2 linked regions of the Lepisosteus oculatus genome follow. Each later gene encodes a partner of the first gene's protein in a complex. Links are inferred from orthologs where the notes say so. Each region holds a gene or a part of one and is shown in the gene's direction. Other genes may lie near its edges.

The links. Proteins that work in one complex are often made in the same cells at the same time.
Region 2: mybbp1a (region 1) and dek share a complex: the UniProt entries of both Homo sapiens proteins name them as parts of the B-WICH complex. The link is inferred for Lepisosteus oculatus from reciprocal best matches to the Homo sapiens genes MYBBP1A and DEK.

What each region holds. Positions count from the first base shown.
Region 1 is NC_090721.1:11,357,384-11,361,138, reverse strand, and holds the start of mybbp1a (myb-binding protein 1A-like protein), read left to right. Parts: upstream 1-864; 5' UTR 865-949; coding exon 950-1,141; intron 1,142-2,338; coding exon 2,339-2,434; intron 2,435-3,114; coding exon 3,115-3,198; intron 3,199-3,615; coding exon 3,616-3,690; intron 3,691-3,755. UniProt on the Homo sapiens protein: May activate or repress transcription via interactions with sequence specific DNA-binding proteins. Repression may be mediated at least in part by histone deacetylase activity (HDAC activity).
Region 2 is NC_090705.1:27,704,371-27,708,125, reverse strand, and holds the start of dek (protein DEK), read left to right. Parts: upstream 1-1,304; 5' UTR 1,305-1,319; coding exon 1,320-1,391; intron 1,392-3,755. UniProt on the Homo sapiens protein: Involved in chromatin organization.

The sequences.
Region 1 (3,755 bases):
CTGATAATTCATTATGAAGCTACATCTAGGTGTTTTTGTTCATGGAATATTATTTTAGATAAGAGCATCAGAAAGGCAACAGATAAGAGAAAGCCATCGAGCTCAGCTTTCTTTTTCCACCAAGGAAGGGTGTTCCAGAAGCCCACCACTGTCATCAGCCACTGTGAGAAGCCCAGTATTTCCTATTATTATATATTAACAGTTTTTGTTTTGCTGCCTACACTTGTCTACATTAAATGCCACCTGTGAATGTTTGCCCAGTCTTTTTTTTTCCCCATTGTGCAGTATTAGTTTGTTTCCCTGCGTTGGAATTGCTGTGGTTTACCTAGGGGTGTACGGATGGTACTGTGGGGAGTGTAGTGTAGTAAAATATTTTGAAAATAGCAGATCAGAATGGCAAGTCAGCTTTCTCGAATGCTTTCTTAACATAATTAGCCTTGTAAAAATTTAAATTCATTAACTAAATAGTGGGGAAAGTAGAGTGAGCACTAGTGTAAAGACTCTGGATTATTTAAAACATAAAAATAATCAAACCTAATGACGAACCCTATATTCTCCACAGAATTAGGCATTGGGAACTGTAACATTCCAAAGCTATTATAAGCAGCTCTCTAGAAAGGCAACTCACATATATCATACCCATATATCATACTTAAAAGATCCTTTCCACGGTAGAAAATGTGAACTTCACTTTTGCACTAACTATACCAAAATCTCAGTGACTGATAAAAAGCAAATGTTATATCTTTCATGAATGGAAAAACAATGTACGAGGTACCAAACCTTAAAATTCTGGAACCCTTATTCTGTGGATTAATTTAACACGAACCTTCCAGCCTGCTGCACGCTGAGCGATCTTCCGATTGACCGGAACACGTGGGTTCCTGCTACAATGCGATCGTTGCTGTAACACGTTTTCTGCTGAAGTGCTGCCGATATTGATATTTACATGGCAGCAGCGGTTGCTAGCATGGGGGAGATAGAAACCGAGCCGGTGCGGCCCAAAGTGACTGATGCCAAAGGAATCCTCCAGCAGAATCGAGAGTTCCTTGATTTTTTTTGGGATATCGTGAAACCGGAGCAAGAAATACGATTAAAAGCCATCGAAGATCTGATCTGCTATCTGAAAAACAGCGAGAAGGTAGGACTGTAATGATTATTTACGTACATTGCTATAATAGGTTTCCTGGGTTTTTGATAGAATTAGGGATATATTTAGGGGGCAAATACAAATTAATTTTAAAACAAAATGTTCAACGAGACTTTTCAGGAGTTTTGTGCATACACAAGACTTTCCAGACTTGGTTTAACCACGTGGGTTTTGGTGACACTCATGGGCTTCCTTTGGCTCTTGATAAAACGTCTTTTTAGGACCTGCTATAAGGACCTTAAAATGTAGTAGTTATGCTAAGCGAATCAGCAGCGTGTTCTTAAAAGTTTGCCCAGAATCTCAGTTGTTAAAAGAAAGGTGATTTTTATTTTGTTGTTTTTGATTACTTGTCAATGCTGCGAGACATTTGATATGTCTTTGCTTTGTGTGCATTTTATTTTTGTGCATTTTTAATAATGTTACGCAAGGTTTAACATACGTTTTCAGCAGTTTTATCATTTCGATATTTTTTTCAATTCATGTTTTTATTTCTGTGTTTGGTTAGGAATTTTGTTTATTCCTCTTGCATTCTTATTATTTGATAAACAACGAGCTTTTATTAAGAAGCTTGTCGAGGACTGTATTTGCAATGAATAAATAATTGACTCGCCTAACCCAGTGAGTAACGTTGGTTAGCTATGCATTTTCATTGCAGGAATGTTAAAGAGCTGATGGGGAATGATTTAGTTTGATGCCTTTGATGTCAAATTAACTTTGTACAGTTTTATACAGCTTGGAATGGTCTTGAATGAACTTTGCTTAATGGTATAAGAGCACTATCTCACCCAGGGCGTGAACTCACAATTATTCAGGTACAAGTCTAGAGGTCTGACCACTCCTGCACACTTCAGTGGTAGTGTTTTATTTAGGCAGCATTGCTATTGTGGAGGAGTGGTGAGGAGGTGTTTGTGGTTCAGATCCTAGTGGGACACAGCAGTTGTACCATTTAGCATAGTGCATCCCTCAGATTTCTCTATTAAATTGCCAAGTTCTTTACATTTGGACAAAAGTGTCAACCAAATAAAACACATTATTCTTCCTTTTTATAGTTTGACCCTGTAGGTCTTCCCATGCGGAAATAATTAGGTACTTGTTTTTTACATCTGGGTGATCTGTGCCCCACAAAGGGTCTCTGGGTGTGAGTGTGATGGGCTAATCTTCTCTTCCCTCTTTTGCTCTCCCTCCCAGCCGGATGAGCTGAAATACACCCTGAAGCGACTGGTGGACGGGCTGTCCCACACTAGAGAGACTGCGCGGCCTGGCTTCAGCTTGGCTCTGGCCCAGGTCAGTGTCCTCCACAGCTGTCTCTGAGTGTGTGTCAGGAAATGAAGAATCACAGCTTAAACATCGTGTTAGAACCTGTTAGTAGGTAAAAAACAAGTAACACGAGCAGTGCTTCTTACTGCCAAGTTAAAGAAGTTGTCCAGCACTGAACAACATAAGGATGATTACTTAGGAGAGGAAGCTATTCTACCCCATTTGCTAGGAGTATGATCCAAGGATCCCATCCAGCTGTTTCTTAAAGGATGCCAAAGGATCACCTTCACATGGCTGGGCAACCTGTTCCATAACTCTTAAGAGTAAAGACCTGTTTCCTTTTTTCTCTGTTTTAAATATGCTTCGACCTAATTTTCACTGGTATCCTATGGGTTACGTTACAAATACAAGTAAAACAGACTAGAAAATAATCACGCTTGTTACAGGATAATTATACATGACTTAGAGTTCGAGAATTTCCAGCCCGAATGCTCGGCCACCTGAATTCTTTCTCTGCACCCTGAAGATGTTTTTTTGTCCTGCAGCAGAAGGCTGTGAGAGTGTCTGAGCTGTATGGAACTCAAATGCATTTGCATTACAGTTACATTGAAATGCAACTTGTGTTTTTCAACAGCCGGGTTCACTGTGATGATTGTGTTGTACTCTTTCATAGTAACCCAGACATAAACATATGGTGTTTATTGCAGGTCCTGCAGGTGTTTGAGGAGATCCCACTGCAGACAACACTGGACCATATTAAGGAAAAGAACAACCTGGAGACAGTGAAGAAGGTCAGGAAACAGTCTTTCCACACTCCCGACTGGATACCTAGAGCTCCCAAGTACCACATTCTTGCCATGGAGTCCTCTCCTGTCCATGGTCTCCTGATCTGATGTAGATGGTCTTCCTAGCCATGGAGATGTCTGGAAAGTTTGTGGAAAAATTACATTAAACTCTAAAGTATTGGGACAGAAATGTCAACTAAATACTGAAGAAAAGGTCTAATTAAATACTGACGGTCTTAATGTGGAAAGCGATGAAGATGGCTACGTGTTCTCAGAACGGGTTTTAGTAATTAGTAAACCTTCTGCCAGCTTCTGAAAATTAGGACGTTTTATTGGATTTTAAGACTTGGGAAACGGGTAGATCCAGCTCTGTTGCCTTGGTTATTTCTCTGATGGCCTCACCTGATTTTTATTATTCCTCAGAAACTCAGAAGAAATGCTGCATTTGGGAATTTCTTCGGAGTGTTGGCTTTGTCCCAGTCGGGACGCCTCCCTAAGGTAACTTAAGTTTTGGAAAACGCTGTTGTTGAGGGCTGTGTATTCAGCTCACTAGAGATTGAGCT
Region 2 (3,755 bases), on another chromosome or scaffold:
TTGATCACGCATGGATATTTAGCTGGATCTTTCGAGTGTGAGTTCGATAAAGCACACTTTATTTGTCATTGCTGTTATTCCGCGAGCTTAGCTCTTGCAGGTCTCACCTTGGCTCGGTTTGGGAGCGCGTGAGCGGTGCGCAGTTAGCTTGGCGCTGGAGAGCATGCAAAGCTCGGTTCTCTGCAGGCAAACAACGGCAACTTTTCGCGCCTTAGTTTTGTAAAACACATTTAGGTTAATATATTTTTGTGTTTCAAATCGGATTTCGCGGATATTTATGCTAGTTAAGAAGCCTTCCGTCGAGGTACGAGTCGATTATATGTTTTAAACGATTATAAAGAAAGCCCATGCCTGTATTATCGGGCATTTAAACGTTTAAAGAGGAATGCTTGTCTTACTCATTAAGTTAAATTAAGCTATTTAACTTTTGCCTTTTTTTCCCTGGCTCTTTTTAAAATTGGCGCCTTCCGTAGAGAATATCGCATTGAAAGTGAAACCCGCAGAAGTGGCGCTGTCACAAAAGCATAATTGACTGAGTTACTAAGTTCAGTAGTAGGCGGACTTCTGAATTATTTTTAAACTGTAAGGGCACGTGTCCATGTGTTTGTACAAAATGCAAGGCACTGAGGTAGTGTTTTTATCTTATAGGTTTTAGTACACTGCATTTTGCGCGACTGTTTACAGGAATACCTGTAAGTGTTTTGTATTAAAAATGACTGACTTCATAGGCGTTTGTAATACTGCCGTTATATATTTCAATATTTATCAGTGCCCATGTACACCAATAGTATTTGGGACACTTTACAGGGTAAAACTAAAATCAAAATAACGCTTGAACCCGATAAAGGTAGAGATAAAAAACGTGGGAAAAGCAAACATTAAACTAAACATAACTTTAGGTAAGTTTTTTAGTCTAGATTTAAAAACCGTAAGATGTGAAAGCTCACGACCCAAGGCACTTGAACTGATAAGAAGTGCTAAAAATGTCTAAGGGAGTGTAAAGCCCTGCTTTATACACAGGGAGCAATACGAGTATTACGCGTTGTAGGGATTTAGTGTGTAGGTCTTTAAAAGAGCTGAATTCACTGGGTAATAGAGAGCTTGTGATGACGTTTCAAAATTGGGGTGATGTGGCCAGGGAGCCTTAAATGCATTAGACGGAATGGCTCGTTTTTGGATAGTTTGAAGTCTGTTAAGGGAGTGGGTGGGGAGACCACTGTATGAAGTATTGCAGTAATCCAGCTGATGTGACAAATGCATGAATCAGACTTTCTGCAGCAGTGTCAAGAAAAGATTGATTTTCTGAAGTGACTTTATAGATGGCTTACAAAAAAGTGCATCACAACAGAGGTCAGGATCAAAGAAGACCCTCTATCCCCAGATTTCTCAAAGTAGGTCATAAAGTGAGGCTATGGTTTCCAAGGTGTAGGGAATTTAGTAAATGGGATGTATATGCCATGGGAATTGTGCACATTACCTCAGTGTTTGTCATAAGGAGGAAATTTTAGCTCAGCTGGGCCTCGGTTTCACTCACAGTTTGTCATAAGTGAGACGTCACATGAGGGAATGAATGGAATAGAGATGTAAAGGTAAATGTGGCCATCATAAAAATGAAAGTGCCATTTTCTTTCCAGTTAGACTGCCTAATGGGAGTAAGAAGATTAAAAACAGAAAAGGTCTTAGGATAGAGGAAGAGAATATGTCAGTTTTGGTCTTCAATGGCAACATATTGTTCCTGGTTTGACAAATAAGATTAAAACCAATTCAAAGCTGTTCCAGTTACACATCTACAGGCTACAAGGCAGTCTAACTGAATGCAGCTGTCAGATCTAATAGGACCAATAGAGAACTAGAGCCAGAGTTTAATTGAAGGTAGTTTAGAACTTTGTACAAGGCTTTCTCTGTACTGTTGGCTAATCTAAAACAAGACTGACACTAAATGTATTTTAAGGAAGGACAAATGAGATTGTAATTGAATGGCTACAAGTTTTTCCAAGATCTTTGAAAGTAAGAGAAGGTGGAGTATTTAGAGTCCTTAACAGTGACAGAATAGGTGCTATCGAGTCTGAATTGTTGAAATAATTAACCCTGTTTTTACTGCTTAGACAATCTTGGTTGTAATGTAAATCAGATCTAGTTAGGGCATCAGTGACAGAAGCAGGAGCACTTTTTTTTCCATTACAGAAAGCAAATCAATCTGGGCAGTGGCTTTGATAATACAGTTGGGATGTTAAAATGTATAAAAAGTGATCTGATAGGGTTTTGAGTGAAATGACTAATTCATTGACATTTACATTGTTTGCAATAACTAGATTAAGAAGTCCTTTGGTATGAGTCAGATCATCAACAAATTGAACTAGATTAAAGGACCAAGTAAAGGTTTATTCCATGCTGAAAAGAGAAGAAAAGAAACACAATGTTTCGGCTGTGGAGCCTTCTTCGGGTGTGATGAAATTTTTCTTTGGATGCAGATTAAAGGAGGAGAGGATATTGTAAAAATCAGAAAGAAGACAGGTTAAAATAAAGCCTGAACAGTTAACAAGCTTCAACCTAAATTGCAAATAGAGGTGATGGGAGGGGTTTATTTAAACTTTTTTTGTGCCAAACGTATACTACCAAATTAGTTAAGGGTAACATGTACCTGCATAGACCTCTTTATGATTTTGCATAGCTTGAAAATGGCTAAAAATAAGATGCAATATTATTTGACAAGTGAGAGTAACAATGAACTCCCATAATGCGTGTCGTCCTCCACAGTGTCTGATAGATTACATTTTTGTCAACTATCTAAATGAAGGTACATATGAAATTTAGGAACTGGTACAACACTGTATACTAGTTACAAATTTTACTTTTTTTAATTGTCTGAAGCAAATTTAAAAATACAACACAGATCGAATATTGATCTCAATGAGCCTGTGAGACTGCCTCGCCAAGAAGATTTTTCAGAGAAATTAAAATTTGTACAGCCCTTGAGGGCTGAAGAGTATTTAAATACACAGATTTTAGTTCCAAATTATGTGACTTTCTAAGTAATTTTAAACTTTCTTAATTGGTTATTCTAGTGGTCCCGGCCAGTCCTCGAGCTGTGATGTGTCCGCAATCCAGCTGGGCATTTAACAACCTGAAACCAGTCATTATTGGCTTAGTTGGACTAATTTAACAAGTTCTCACAGTTTGTGAGCTGCTGCTATAAAAACTTAACCTATAAAAGAAAAACAGACATCCAGGACCAGAATTGGACAACCCGGATCACATTTAAACTTTGTTACTAGTGCTTACTAGTAAAAACTGTAGGATTGGGGCCCTCCAGGATCAAGGCTGGACATCTCATTCCCATGAGAGAAAAAGGTTATAATAGGATACTGTTATTGTCCTTTCTCATTTCGGTTTTTCAGTATGTGATTTTTAAGGGGCAATTGATCTGCTCATATTAACTTATACAATTGCAGTACTTGGCAATGATGAAGTCTAATTGAAGAAAAAATTAGCGAAACGATCCCTAACCTCTGATTTGATTCCCTGTTTGACAAATAGTACAGAGTGCTATTGCATAGCTGATCCATCTCACATTTTTAAAATTGCAGACTGTTGTGTAGGTTGCCATTATTTTAAAATTAGTCTTTGCAGATTCACACAATGTAATGCATTGTAGGTGTGTTGTTTGCTTTACGTAGTTTGTAAAACTTTAAACTTGTCAGATTGCTTTTACAGTGGAAATCGGACTGGTTTGGCTAGTCATATCAGCATGAAAC